3 linked regions of the Saccharomyces cerevisiae S288C genome follow. The protein of the gene in region 3 interacts with the protein of the main gene of each other region in a biochemical or structural test. Each region holds a gene or a part of one and is shown on either strand. Other genes may lie near its edges.

Region 1 (3,011 bases), on a different chromosome or scaffold from region 3:
CAGACAAGGCAAATTGAAGTAAGGTAAAGAAAAAAGCAGAGATTCCAGTACAGTACGCCCTAGCTTTTTGGTAAGTATTTGGAGATGACCTTGTTTGGCACAGCTTAATATAGGACAACAGGTGCTGAACAGAAAGGGAAATTTCCTGCGGCCCAGCGCAAAAGTGCCTCTTTTGAGAAAAATTACTCAAAGGGGGACACTCCGGTATGTTCCGAGCCGCGTGCCGAAGGAGGGCAACTCCTTGTGCAACCCCCTTTGGCAGCAATGCTACTTTATATGCGCGTATTGTGCTATATGGATCTGCCTATGCCTTCGTGGGGCATCTCTTACTCTCGCATGTTCAGTTTGCCGGAGATTGTTCCTGTGCCGGCGACGTGTCGGTAGCGTCAGGAGTGTCTGAAGCATTGATGCATGCCCTGATGAGGCTCTTACCCTCGTCTTCCCGTACCACCGGCTCGAGCTTAGGCGTTGTGAAAGTGTAGACCAGGCCAGAGTTTGCCAGAATTAGAAGCAGAATATTGGCGCCGGTTAGGACGGAGAGCTCATATGCTTTTTTCATGATCCCGTGCCGCCTCTTCGAGAAGGTGACATGTCTCCGGGTCTTATTCTCGATGTACCTGATCGGCTGCTTCCGCCTCGTAACCGTACTTGTGTCGCTGCTGTCCTTAGTTTTCGTTATGGTTGGGGTGGGAGTTGATGTGCTCACGCTGAATTTGTCATCATCGTCTTCTTCGTCGAAATCGCCTTCTTGATCTTGTTCTGGCGATGGCGTTGAAAGCCGCCGTATTGGTTTGGTAGGTTCATTAGTTTCAACATCGCCGGTAATTGGTTTCTCAACTGGACTGGTACTTGAACCGTCGCTATTCGACGTCATATTTAGCAATATTCTTTAGAGAGTGTATGTAACTAATGTGGGAAAAAAAATGGCGCAGGAAAATCGCATAGCTACTTGCTAGGAGTAAGTAGAACTACGTGCCTTTCCATAGCGGTTCACCTGAATCATCAAATTTTTTTCACTTACCGTCTAATAATGGATGACCCACCCGCTTCTGTGATGCTGCTCATCACCAAAAGAGGAAAACGAATGAAAAGTAAAAAAAAATTAATGCGAATTCTGTGGATCGAACACAGGACCTCCAGATAACTTGACCGAAGTATTTCTTCAGTCTGGCGCTCTCCCAACTGAGCTAAATCCGCTTATATTCATATATTAGTTGCGCTCTGGGATGCGAGCCCATTCTCATGGAAATACATGAAATTGCTTACCAAATTCTCTGAAGAAGAGGGGTGTCTTATGGATAAGTGAGGATAAGAAAGAAAGTGTCATATAACTTAGCATTGTGCATATGTAGTCGATTTTTTTGTCATTATTTTACTTTCTGGAAAAAAGAAAGCTGCCTTCTGGGTTTCAGTACACGGTAAGTTTAAAGCCTATATTTATCTACTCTGTTAACAGGAAGGAAGAGTACACATAAATAAAAGAGTAACAACGGAGACTATAAGATGGTTAATGAAAAAGTGAATCCATTCGACTTAGCTTCGGTTTCTCCTTTAGTCTTAGGAGGTGCAATACTGAACCAGCAATATACAGATGAGCCAGAATCCATTCCACTGGAAGACATAATCAAATACGCATTTTCGCATGGTATCAATGCAATTGACACTTCTCCCTACTATGGCCCTAGTGAGGTTCTTTATGGTAGGGCACTGTCCAATTTAAGGAATGAATTTCCCAGAGACACTTATTTTATATGCACAAAGGTTGGGCGTATTGGTGCGGAAGAGTTTAACTATTCTAGAGATTTCGTGAGATTTAGTGTTCACAGATCGTGCGAAAGATTACACACTACATATCTCGATTTGGTGTACTTGCACGATGTCGAGTTTGTCAAATTTCCAGACATCTTAGAGGCATTAAAGGAATTGAGGACCTTGAAGAACAAAGGAGTTATCAAAAATTTTGGCATATCAGGCTACCCAATCGACTTTATCACCTGGCTTGCTGAGTACTGCTCTACCGAGGAAAGTGATATTGGGTCATTGGATGCAGTATTGTCCTATTGTAACTTGAACTTACAAAACAATAAGCTATTGAACTTTCGAGAAAGACTGCTACGCAATGCTAAACTGAAAATGGTTTGCAACGCATCAATCTTGAGCATGTCGCTACTAAGGTCACAGGAGACAAGACAGTTTCACCCGTGTTCTCATGAATTGAGAGAATGCGCATCTCAGGCTGCCAAATACTGTCAAGAACAAAATGTCGACTTAGCCGATTTGGCCACAAGATACGCGATTTCGGAATGGGTAGGAAAGGGACCCGTTGTTCTTGGAGTCAGTAGCATGGAAGAATTGAAACTTGCTCTGGATAATTACGAAATTGTGAAATCGAATGGCAACAGATTATCTTCTAAGGACGGACAACTAGTAGAATATATCCAAAAGAATATTTTTAAAGAACATTTTAATGAAGAGTGGTCTTCAGGTATTCCTCATCCAGAAATGATATAATCACCCCAAAAAGAAAAAAAATTTGTCAAATTTTAGTTTATATTCATTTGTTCTATTTACATATGTAAGTTTTTCCTTTTCTTCTTTTTTAGTTTTTTCCTTTTAAAATTTCTTCTTCTGCAATTCCTCTAAATATTTTTGCTTTCGTCTTAACTTTTCCTTCAGAATGTCATCTCCAGCCTTCATTTTGTCATTCCATTCCACTATTCTTCGCAATATACTCATCACGGTGAGTATACATATATAAAAGTAGATGATGAAGCCTGAAATGTAAACATTCCTTTGGTTATATGCCCTTGAAGCCAGTGCATCCACTGGGGTTACACTATTTATTATATAGGGATTTTTCTGGTTGCGGTACGTAGACACTCTGATCTGTGACCTTTTCCATGAATCGATGAACAAAAGACCAACGAAGATCATGATTCCAACCATATAAGTTCTGAATTTCTTATTAGTACTTATGATACTGTAGCGTATATACAGCCACCTTCTCATAC
Region 2 (3,374 bases), on a different chromosome or scaffold from region 3:
GCTAGAAAACAAAGATTTGATGATTACAAGAAGTTCGGTGCCGTGATTATATGCTTAAAACATCTCAATATGAAGTCATGGTGTTTTACTTAATTCAAAAGCATAACAGTATTTATGTACATTGAATGACTTTGTATTTACAATTAATTTGAGTTGTCTTTCCTTGTGTCTATAACTTCTGGGGATAAAATAGCAGCATTAGCCAATGACGCTGCTTTTTCATCTGCATTCATCTCAGGCTCCTTTTTAGAGTCACTTACAGCTGTACCATCACCATAATGAGCTCTGAAGAATGTGTAATGTAAAATAATATCATCGATATTTCGCATCGCTGGATCGCTAGCAAAATCTGGATCGATAAAAAAGAAGACAGGCATATCTATTTCTTCACCGGCAGCTAGCTTTTGTTCTTCAAAGCAAAAACATTGGATTTTATTAAAGTATTGAGCTGCTTCACCAGGCGCTATGCTATAAGTAGCCATACCAATAATATCTTTATCGCTGTAATTCTTGGCTTTATAAAAAGCGAGGGCTGTTTCACCAGGCAGAACGTAAACCTCACGTTGTTGAGGAACGAATTTCCACGGTAAAATTTGTGATACTTCACTGGTGAATGAGATACGAATTCTCTTCTCAGTATCTACAGGAATGAGTTTATCGTCGGTAAATTTTCTTCTATCTGTTATGGGAATCCCACCAAAACCAGTACGAGCACAAATGGCTCTATAGAGTGGTACCGCTGCATATGCCAAACCCAAGAAAAGTACCGCGACGCTGCTGAAATAAAATGCAACCGTACGATCTTTAAATTTTCTCTCCCTTGCTCTTTTCAACTCTCGCAATTGCTGGATTTCATTTCTAGTAAGTTTTGAAATATCAAATGTATGTTTTGGTTGTTCGCTGTTCACTGAATAACTTCTCAATGCAACGTTTTTGCATATGGCCCGCCTTAGAGCTAGCGCATGAGGTGCCAACCATGAGTCGGATCTAAGAAAAGTTCCTAACAGTGGAACCTTAGATCTAACAATGGGACATATTCTTATCATGACAATATTAGGGAATTTTGGCTGCAATATTATTTGTTTGTGCGCTGAAGTGCTATTTCACCTGCGACAGGAATATTATTACTTTAAAGAAGATACTTAAGCGTTCGCTGCCCCTTTAGACTCTTCACTGTTCTTTGATTTGTATTGGTTAGTATCTATGTCCTTAAAAGATATATCATGTTTCATCCGTCAAAGGGCATTGGTTAGGGAAAGGGTTTTCCAATGGTTACGCTGTTTTTCCTACAGATCCGCTCCTTAGATGGGGAGAATAATGTTTTGGAATGGCAGAAAACAAGAAAAAGCAAAACAAAGAGTACGAAGGAAAATGAAAAATAGTTGAATATTAGAAAAAAGGATGAGGTCTCTGGGATGGAAGAAGAAAGTAATTCTTATGAGAAAATTTGCGGGAGTTCTTTGCCAGTGAGATAAAGTTTTTTTTAATTTTAATCAACACAAAATACACATATTTATATAAACTGACGAAATAATGTCAGCAAACAGTGGTGTAAAACGAGCCAGTAAGGCTTTTAAAACATGTTTATTTTGTAAACGGTCACATGTTGTATGTGATAAGCAACGTCCATGTTCTAGGTGCGTCAAGAGGGATATTGCCCATTTATGCAGGGAAGATGATATTGCGGTTCCAAATGAGATGCCATCACAGCACGAAAGTTCTCCGAATGATAATAATATACAGGGCAAATATGCAAATAAAGCACACACTGGAATTCCGTCTGACTATCAGAATGAACCAGTCAATAAAAGTGGATCCACATATGGAGAGGAACTGTCACCGAAACTAGACTCCTCTCTTGTAAATGATACAACCAGCTTGCTGCTTCCGCAACAACCTGTATTTGTGTCCGAGAATGTTGGTTCGGAATTCAGTTCTTTGAATGAATTTCTTTCTATGCTAGAAAATCCTCTATTGACTCAAACATCACTAAGTTCCAGCAGTGCGAGCAATGTTCATTTGGAAAATGGCTCACAAACCACACAATCGCCATTAGAGTACCAAAACGACAATCGTAGGGATGAAATAGGAGTGGCAAGACAAGAAAATAGGTCGCCTACTATTATGTCAGGTTCTTCCAATAGTATCTCGAAAGGGGATAAACAAGATCAAGAAAAGGAAGAGTCTCGAATTCTAGCGAATGCAAACGAAAACAGTGCACCGACACCGAAGGAACAATTCTTTTTAACAGCGGCGGATCCGTCAACAGAGATGACACCAGAACACCGGCTGAAGTTGGTCATAAATGCGAAGCTTGAAGCAGGATTATTGAAGCCGTATAATTATGCCAAGGGGTATGCAAGACTACAAGACTACATGGACAAATATATGAATCAGTCTTCCAAGCAAAGGATTCTGAAACCACTATCCACCATTAGACCGGCGTTTAGAACCATTGCGCGTTCATTGAAGGATGTTGACTTAGTTTTAGTGGAGGAGAGCTTCGAGAGGATGTTATTATCTTATGATCGTGTTTTCACCTCTATGAGCATGCCAGCGTGCTTGTGTAGGCGTACCGGTGAGATTTACAGAGCCAATAAAGAGTTTGCTTCACTGGTTGACTGCACAGTCGATGATTTACGCGATGGAAAGCTTGCGATCTACGAGTTGATGACAGAAGAAAGCGCTGTGAATTTCTGGGAAAAATACGGGTCCATAGCGTTTGATAAGGGTCAGAAGGCTGTTTTAACAAGTTGTAGTCTTCGAACCAAAGATGGAATCCGCAAACGGCCATGCTGTTTTAGTTTCACTATCAGAAGGGATAGGTACAACATCCCAATTTGCATCGTCGGGAATTTCATCCCTTTGTCATAAGCATAAGTAATACATAGTAGGTAATTGGTATTTCCAGCGTCATTAAAAAGCAAAGTAACGGGTTTACTTTTTCCTCAAGCCGCTGGCCCGAGCAGTTACTTGAAATAGCCGTATTACTACGAGCAATACGAAGACCTTTTTCTACCAGCATTTGTTTTTTTTCAAATCATTCCCATTATTACCCCAGGATCTTTTCATAATGCGGCGACCAGAGATAGGGAAAAAAACTGCGAACTGGCTGAATCTGATTTGGCGAAGGGCAGATTCTCGGGTATTTCTGTGAGGGTGACCGCCGTTGATATATATCAGTGACTTTTGGGAACCTTTATCTCATTTATTCTCAAGATAGAACTGTAACGAGGGTGAAAGAAAAAGAACTGTAAGATGACATCTATAGATAATAGACCTTTGCCGTTCATATACCAGTTCACAGCCGGTGCCATTGCCGGCGTCTCGGAGCTATTGGTGATGTATCCATTGGACGTGGTGAAGACAAGAAT
Region 3 (9,352 bases):
ATTTCAGAGTTTGTAGGGATGTCGCGGATAAATTGAAGTACTCCAAACCTGCTTTGCTTCATTCCAGATTCTTTCCAGCTTTGCAAGGTTCCACGACCAAAATGTCAGCCTCTGATGATACCACTGCCATTTTCATGACCGATACACCAAAGCAAATTCAAAAGAAAATTAACAAGTACGCATTCAGCGGTGGTCAAGTGTCCGCCGACCTACATAGAGAATTAGGTGGTAATCCCGATGTCGATGTTGCATACCAATACTTGTCATTTTTCAAGGATGACGATGTTTTCTTGAAGGAATGCTATGACAAATATAAGTCCGGTGAATTACTATCAGGTGAAATGAAGAAACTGTGTATCGAGACTCTGCAAGAATTCGTTAAGGCGTTCCAGGAACGCAGAGCTCAGGTGGACGAAGAGACCTTGGACAAATTCATGGTCCCACATAAGTTGGTTTGGGGCGAAAAGGAAAGACTTGTCGCACCTAAGCCAAAAACTAAGCAAGAAAAGAAGTAAGTAGTCACGCTTATTCTGACGCTATTATATACAATGATATAGAATCCGAAATTGTAGTTTAACACTAAAAAAATAATGCAATAGAACAATAGTGTTGCGATGTCTCCTGACCTCACTATTTCTATAGATTGGTATGAAAAATTTTTTTTTCAAATATATGGGAAAAATTTTTCACGGCATATAAAAGACTACCATCTTTCTGCATCAGTGTGCCAGACCCATTCTCACACCAAGAAGCGAGGAAGCTAACAGGCCAGTACTTGCAGGTTAGGTTTTCGTGCTCAGATGAGCAGATCATGGACTGCATTGTGCTGTTGTTGCACAGTAAATTTTGTATACCATACTTTATGATGATATTCTTTACGAACTTTTAGACGTTAGACTTCTGAAGGAGATTAGACCCTCCTATGGAAGAGAAACTCGTTAAACTTATCTGAGTAGGTATGTGTATATGCGTCTCTTGTATTATACAAATGTTCTTATTTCTTGTCCTGCATTTTTCCGAGTATTGGTAAATTCATGTAAATTTTTCATCCCATAGATCGTAATTTTGAAGTAGTGGCAAAAGATTTTAACAGAGCGTAAGATATAGTGAGAGAAACTACTCGCTGAAAAGTTGAAAGTGACCCAAAAAACGGCACGAAGACCAATTATACGCACTTTCAACACAGTTCGTCGAATCTTCACAATGGGGTTCAAGAAGCTCGTATCATTCCAACCGGATTATGTCCCACAATACCATATAACTAAATATATCTCGGAACGAACTAAACTGCAACTGGTACATATAAACCACAAAACCTCCCCATTGGTTCACGGTTACTTTGCTGTTCCTACAGAATGTCTTAATGATTCAGGTGCTCCGCATACCTTGGAGCATTTGATCTTCATGGGTTCTAAATCTTACCCATACAAAGGTTTATTAGACACAGCTGGTAATCTGTCTTTGTCTAACACCAATGCTTGGACTGATACCGACCAAACTGTTTATACATTAAGCAGTGCTGGCTGGAAGGGATTCTCAAAGTTGCTACCTGCTTATCTAGATCACATCCTACATCCAACTTTAACAGACGAGGCTTGTTTAACTGAGGTTTATCACATCGACCCGGAAAATTTGGGTGATAAAGGTGTGGTATTTAGTGAAATGGAAGCCATTGAAACTCAGGGCTGGTACATTTCAGGGTTAGAAAAGCAGCGATTAATGTTTCCTGAAGGAAGTGGCTATCGGTCAGAAACTGGTGGGCTAACGAAAAATTTAAGAACCTTAACCAACGACGAAATCAGACAATTTCACAAATCTCTGTATTCTTCTGATAATCTTTGTGTCATTGTTTGTGGTAACGTACCAACAGATGAACTGTTAACCGTCATGGAAGAATGGGATAACAAATTGCCGGAGATTCCATCGAATATACCAAAGAAAAGACCATTTTTGGACAACAAGCTTTCGCACATACCGCAATCTAGAGATAAAGTTACGGAATCTACTGTAGAATTTCCTGAACTTGATGAAAGTCAGGGTGAATTACTCTTTTCTTGGATTGGTGTTCCCTACTCAGATTTTCGTAATGACCTAGCGGTTGATGTGCTATTAGATTACTTTACTGACTCTGCATTGGCAGTGTTTACAAGAGAACTGGTTGAAATTGACGATCCCATGGCAAATTCCACTGATTGTTGCACTGATTATTTCATGAGAACCATAATTGATCTTCGTATCCAAGGTGTCCCAACAGAAAAAATAGCAGCAACAAAGACCAAGGTACTGGAGATTTTGAAAACCCATACCATTGATTTATCAAGAGTTAGACAGGTAGTTGAAAATACTAAATGGGAATATTTGCTGAACTATGAAAAAAATGGCGAGAGTCGTTTTTCTAGTGCTGTGATTACCGACTATATTTATGGTAATGAAGATGGTTCTTCATTAGTGTCTTCTCTCAAGGATTTAAGTGATTTTGATGCTTTATTACAATGGTCCCAAAAGGACTGGCAATCTTTGCTGAACAGAATATTCGTAGACAACAAACCTATCATAGTTACCGCTAAACCAAGCGCTTTGATGTATGAACAACTAGAGAAAGAAAAATCGGATTTGATCAAACAAAGAGAAGCTGAATTTGATGATGAAAAGAAACTGGTTTTATTGAAAAGATTGAACAATGCAAAAAATATTAATGATAGGCCAATTCCGAAATCTCTACTACAGAAATTTGAGATTGATAATCCTTCAAAGAGTGTTGAATTTGTCAACACGAAAAGCATTGCAACTGTCGATTCGTATAAATACAATAATGTTAGTGATCCGCTGACCAAAAAAATTTTAGAAACGAGGCCAGACAATTTTCCTCTTTTCATTCACTTAAATCATTTCCCGTCTCAATTTATAGAGCTGCATTTTTTGGTCAACTCCGCATCTATTAAGGATACCTCGCTTTTACCATATTTTAATATGTTTGACGAGCTATTTTCCATGCCAATGAAAATCCTTGATGAGGAGAGTAATGTAGAAACTATGCTCTCGTTTGAGGAAGTTGTCGCCAAGTTAAAATCAGAAACTATTGACGCACAGATCAACCAAGGTTTGAAGGGTTCTTGTCCTGACCTTATTAATTTTAAAATTCAATGTAGAGCTGGGGGTTACTCTAACTCTGTTCAATGGATCAAGCACTGCCTATTTGACATGGTTTTTGATGAAAATCGTGTTCGTATTCTGCTGGAGAATTATTTGAATTCTATTGTAGAATGGAAAAGAAATGGTAATGTTATGTTAAGTTCTTTAACTAACAGAAATCTCTATTCGGCAAGATCGCTGAAAAAATCCACCGATCCATTATTTGTTGAAGCAAAATTACAAGAGATTTTTGCAGAAATTGAGAATGGCAACTTTGAGAAAGAAATTTTGCCAAGAATAGAAACAATGAGAAAGCAACTGAGAGCAAATTTCAACAAGTTTCATATTTTGGTTCTTGGTGACATCTCAAAGATCGATGACGTTTATGAACCATGGAATCCCTTAATTAAGTGCTTGAACATTGCACATCCAGTTGAGAAGTTAAAAATTCCACCAGTTCCAAGAGCCCTAGATACCATTTCATCGATTTGCAGAACACCTGGTGAAAAGGCCTTTATAATAACTACTCCCGCCTCAGAATCTGCTTATATGAATCTAATAACGTCTATCCCATTTAACTTGGACTACCATGATCCCGAATACGCTATTGTCTCATTGGCTTCCGAATATCTAGAATGTGTTGAAGGTCCATTTTGGAAGGGAATCCGTGGTGCCGGATTGGCCTATGGTGCCAGCATGTTAAAATTATGTGAGATAAATTCTTGGGGATTCAATATTTACCGCGGCGCTGATATTATTAAATGTTATGAAGTTGGAAAACAGATTGTTCAAGATTATGCATCAGGTGCCTTGGAATTTGATGAGCAGTTAATCCAAGGTGCCATCAGTAGTATTATTAACAGGCTGGCTACTATCGAATGCGGATACTTTGAAACAGCCCTGTCCAAATATGTTGATGAATTCTGTTTGCAAAGGGGGAACAACTTCAATGAATTGTATTTGGAAAGGTTGCAGAATGTTACCAAAACAGATCTGAAAAATGCCATGCAGAAATATTTTGTCAACATGTTTGATTCCAATAAAAGCGTTGCCTTTGTGAGCTGTCATCCAGCTAAATTGGAATCAGTTCAAGAATTCTTTGAAACTCAAGGTTTCACTGTCGAAATAGAAGAGCTAGAAGATGACGATGACGAAATTGATAGTGAAGAAGACGAAAATGCGTGAGTACATGACCTCCATTTCAGCTTCACTTTCAACACAGAAACAGTGCGTATTATCTGCATTCAATAAATAGCAAAAGGAGCATTGTCTCATTCTTTTCGAATTCTGGGATTCTGCCTTACGGCGCTCTTTCATTTGATTGATCGAGAATTATTATTATATTTATATGAGTACTTGAAATTCCTCATATATTTATTTTTAGAGTATTTAAGTAGCTTGATGAAAACATTAGATAAAATTACTAATTACGACCTCTTCGATTTTGCAGATGAGTTTTTGAAATTTGTTCCTGTGTTTAGACCTAATCCCACGGTAACTTGTCTTTTTGGCAATCCGTTAACTAATTTACTGGTTAACGGTACTGGAGCAGCGTGTTTTTTTGAATTTTGTTCCTTGGCATTGATAAAGGTTTCAAAAATTCTGCTTGATCTGTTGCTCTTAGCGCTATTAATCGATTCAGAAAACGAATTGTGCTTTGAAATTGATGGAGATTGGCTATGCGTCCTGGGTTTTGGCGAAGGAGACTTGGAAGTTGGAAGATCTTTAGGTATGGCTCTTCCGGATGATGATGTTCTTCTTTCAATTACCTTTTGGTTTCTTTGCAACAGTTCTTTCTCTATTTTATTTGTATTCGAATTAAGAATTTTTTTGAGAACAGTAAACAATTTGCTCGTGGTTTTTTTATCAGTGCTCAAAAGAAATGACTTGTAAGGTGTCTGAATCACAACTATATGATTAGTTCCCATTTCCAAGGGAATGATTAGTTCTTTTATTTTGGTACCCTGTTGACGCAAATTTATGTCATATTCTAGTTCATACTTTAAATTTGTAACTGGATTTGGCTGCCTCCTCTTGGCAAATACTAGAAACCTTCCAAATGATGTCATTACAATGGTTCGTTTATAGTACTTGGTTTTTTCATCAGAGGAAGAGAGCGTTTCAGCTGCTGAGGTAGGGTGAAATAATTTTTTAATCTTGCCAGAAAAAACAGAGCTTCCTTTATTGTTAGATTCGGATTTATCATCGTCTTTCATTGGTGAGCTGTTTTGATTGCATTTGTACCCTTCTCCGCTTCTGTTAGTAAGCAACTCCGATAAGTCACCTCCTTCAATTCGATAATCATCTTCCAAGAGCTGCAAATCGATAATATTTTTCGAATAGTACGTATCTTCTGTTTTGGAATAAGCAGTCATAGTTGGATCATTTCGAAAACCTGTAACCTCTCCCCCACTCCTAGCTACTTGGGATAAAAAAGTATGTCTAGGCTTACCAAACAGTTGAGGATCTAACAATGAACCATTTAGTTTAAGCATTTTCTTCTCTAAGATATCGTAATTTGTGGTAACAAAATCCAGTTTTTCCGTCCTTAGTACATGTTCGTTGATGTTTTTCAGGTAAAAGGACCATTGAATATCTTGCTTGTTCATCAAGGGAGAATCTGTGCTATTTTTAACATTTTGCTTACTAATACAAGGCTTAGGTGCGGCAATTGCGGTATCAGAATAATCCTGCTGTTTTGTCGTATAGGGAGGTGTCATTTGATATGTATCATATGGTGTCATAGGGGGCGACATTGGAGGTGTGTATGGAGGCATTGGGACTTTTGACGATAAAACTGATGCTGACAAAGGTGGAGATTTGGCAAATGGTTTACTTTCTGTAGAAGAAGTACGCTTATAAGTTCCTGGTCTTGATGTTGTCGCAGGAGAGCTTGACCTGCTACTTTTCGAACTAGAAGTTGGATAGCTTTGCATGGTTTTCTTGGTTAAAGCAGCAGAAGCTGCTAGGGCAGCAGAAGCTGCACCACTTGGTGTTCTCTTGCCTGGTTGATTTTTCCTATTGTTTATACCCTTTCTTGCATTTTCAAGTATCTGCGCTGTTCTTTCATCAGTGGGTCTCTTCTTTATTGATATTTCACTTTCAGTAGAAGCGTGAGTATTGTTATTGTATAGGGTTGAATGAGTAGTTTCCTCAACAGAGGGACTTGAAGCTGACCTTTGAGTCACTAGATGCGATTTGCCAAGTGTGTTGACTGATTTCTTCACCAGTTTTCTATCGCTTCCGCTTGGCATTGCCTGCATGGATTTGGCGTTGATTTTATATGGTTTGATCTCTGGAGGCGTTTTTGACCAAACAGAGCCGTCTTTAAAATTCAAATCTTTGAAAAAATGATGTTCCTTAATTTGGCTTATCGTCAATCTTCGGTCTAAGTTTTTTACTAAGATTTTCTTAACCAAATCTCTGATAATAAGTGGGAAACCTGGTGTAAAGGCGTACTGAACTTTCATTACCTTTTGGAAAGTCAAGTATTCATTGGTAGCTTTGAATGGTGGTTTTCCGGCAATCATCTGGAAAAGTATACATCCGAAGGCCCAAATATCGCAACGATAGTCTGTAAAACTGTCATTTAAAAGTTCTGGAGATACGTATTCTGCAGTTCCAACGAAAGATTTCGACCTTGTTGATAAATCGTATTCTGGTTTCGAAACGCTATTATTTGTAGGATTCAGTAACTTCGCAGTACCAAAATCAGTCAGTTTGATCTTCATTTCTCCATCTAAAAGAATATTTTCTGGTTTTATATCTCTATGAATAATACCGTTGGAATGTAAGTAGTCTATGGCATCTATTATTTGCGCAGCATAATATCGTGCGCAGGTTTCGTCTAATGAACCGTATTTTTTCATTAAAGAAAGAAAGTCCCCATTGGGGGCATACTCTAAGAGAAAGTATAGGCTTGATTCATCCTGAAAAGTGGAAAATAATCGCACAACACTAGGAGAATTATTGAGCTTTTGAAGGGCGGTTTTTTCTATGCTGACGTATTTGACTTTCTTCTGGCGTATTAAATATTCTTTGTTTAGTACTTTTGCGGCGTACCTCTTTTTGGTATCAATCGACGTCGCTAACATTACAGTAGAATACGCGCCATCACCTATTACACTACCAAATTTAAAGTCCTTGATTCCCTTTTTGATTATATTTTTTTGGGCTTTGGATGACTCTTTAGCTATTGGTTTTTGAGATGAAGAGTCATGTTCAATCTTTACTTTGTTTCGATTTTTTTCCATGTGGGGACTTCCCGCTATATTATCCAAAGTTTTTTGGTCATTAATATCGTTATTATCGTAATCGTTGTCATATCTGCCGTCGTTGGTACTAGCGACAGTTTTTCCGTTTTCATCATTAATCATTACTTCTTTAATAGTGTCATCATCAAGATTTTTTCTCTGCTGATTATGGTACATTTCAATGAAATTATCCGTATTCGTCAAGGCCTTTTGAATCATAGGCTTAGCGGTTCTTTTTTCCAAAAGTAAATCGCCAACGTTTCTATTCGAAGTGCTTCTTTGTGGAGTGGCTTTTGCGTCATAATGGGGGTCTAAATGCGAGAATTTCTCCTTTTTCGTTAGAAGATTAATGTTTAGCTTCTGCTCATCACTTGGCAATAACGGCCTAGGGCTCATGGAATTATCCTTATCAAAATACATTTGGTTGAAATGAAAAAAAAAAAAGGAGAGATTTAATTTCTTTTGCTTTTTAAAAACTAGTTAGTGGCTTCTCGGTTCATCAAGATGTTACTTTTGTTTTCCCTTTTCGAACTATTTTATGTAGTTTCTTGTTCTTAAATACCCCTAAGTACCTTTGTACACCAATATCAGACTTCAAAGGCGGTAACTGGAGTAAAAATATTAACAGTTTCGTTGTCAAAACTATTCTCTGCCTCAGAAATGTGAATATATAATTTCTGTGTTGCGGAAGCTTTGAAGATGAATGCCAATAGCGCCTTAAAGAAAACTAAAAGGATCGGGAAATGTTCGCTTCCATTTGGGGTTATTATTGCTAAACGTCAAAAGTTATTCTAGTTTATTTCGTCGAATATGATTTCTTTTTGCACGTGACTTTTCTCCGATTATCCTGGGCGGCTATTTCTCCGCTGTTTAACTAGGGACCAATTATTCCATCAACAATGTGTCGAGTCGATCGTTAACCATCTGTCATGTTTCATACCTTATTCTAGGCATATATGGGCCCACCATATATTTTTGAGCCTTAGACTTTTCGTATTTGGGGTACATCAGCTTCCATTGCTACAGAACTATTTGAGTCTCAACCATTAGCTATAGAGCTAGTCGGAAATGGCGGGACCGAAACAACTTTTGATAGTACAGGGAACTCCAGCGTATGTTTCTCTAGGTGACAAGAAATAAAACTGGAGACAGGCGATTGACAGAAGGATCAGAAGCAATAGTCTTACTACTTATAGACAGAGAAAAATGATTATTCCATATGTTACCCTGATATTCTACGAGAAAATGGGCCTTCGTCAATAGCTATTTAATTTAAGCATATGTACGGGCAGTACCAGCTGTTATAGTTTACATAAAATAGACATATTCACGTGTATGCAAGGGCACATAAAAGCAAAGGCTGACATTGAAACATAGCAAGCCAAGAGATAGAAAAGGAGGATACGGGGTGAACAGCCGGTCTATTCTTATATATACTTCAAAGAAGCGATAGTTCTGTCCGTATAAAAACTCGGACAATTCGGACAGCACTCCGCGAGAAAAGGGCTCGTTGGGCAGCTCAACATTATTCAACGCAAGCCTGTTGAGCTCAATTGGTTTTAATTGTAAATACTCAATGGTGTCAACAGCTAAATGATTTACACTCATATATATGGTCCGGATATATGGACGCAGAAGTAAAATAAAAATGAAAAAAAGTAGAAAAGGAAATTAATTTCTTAAAGTTCTTGTCAGCGCATATAATATTGGTATAAAGGTACATATATATTGACAGTATGGTTTCATTGACTACAATAGAGCAAAGCCCAGTCAAATGCGAGACAACCACTGAGAAAGAGAGCAATGATACTAGGGGGACAGATTCGAACGAGAATGCAGAGACAAAAGAAACAAAGAAGGGTTTTCCATTCCATGACTTGGCAAAATTGCAGAAACAGTACAAAAATAAATCCAGTAGGAACGAGTCACTAGTAGCACTAATATATCTCTTGGGTTCGATGCTGTCA

Evidence for each region. Proteins that work in one complex are often made in the same cells at the same time.
Region 1: the proteins of PKH2 (region 3) and ARA2 form a complex in vitro, tested with the Saccharomyces cerevisiae proteins (one large-scale study listed by BioGRID).
Region 2: the proteins of PKH2 (region 3) and RDS2 form a complex in vitro, tested with the Saccharomyces cerevisiae proteins (one large-scale study listed by BioGRID).

The regions. Positions count from the first base shown.
Region 1 is NC_001145.3:350,466-353,476, reverse strand, and holds ARA2 (D-arabinose 1-dehydrogenase (NAD(P)(+)) ARA2), read left to right. Parts: upstream 1-1,503; coding exon 1,504-2,511; downstream 2,512-3,011. Other genes in the region: ARG80 (Arg80p), read right to left, coding at 341-874; YET2 (Yet2p), read right to left, coding at 2,614-3,011.
Region 2 is NC_001148.4:299,388-302,761, reverse strand, and holds RDS2 (gluconeogenesis transcription factor RDS2), read left to right. Parts: upstream 1-1,533; coding exon 1,534-2,874; downstream 2,875-3,374. Other genes in the region: COX11 (Cox11p), read right to left, coding at 144-1,046; ODC1 (mitochondrial 2-oxodicarboxylate carrier), read left to right, coding at 3,259-3,374. UniProt on the Saccharomyces cerevisiae protein: Transcription factor which regulates the expression of genes for gluconeogenesis, the TCA cycle, and glucose metabolism. Involved in the cell wall remodeling process and drug resistance.
Region 3 is NC_001147.6:127,690-137,041, reverse strand, and holds PKH2 (serine/threonine protein kinase PKH2), read right to left. Parts: upstream 7,806-9,352; coding exon 4,560-7,805; downstream 1-4,559. Other genes in the region: tryptophan--tRNA ligase WRS1, read left to right, coding at 1-515; YOL097W-A (uncharacterized protein), read right to left, coding at 637-822; SDD3 (Sdd3p), read left to right, coding at 1,204-4,317; IZH4 (Izh4p), read left to right, coding at 9,122-9,352. UniProt on the Saccharomyces cerevisiae protein: Serine/threonine-protein kinase which is part sphingolipid-mediated signaling pathway that is required for the internalization step of endocytosis by regulating eisosome assembly and organization, and modulating the organization of the plasma membrane.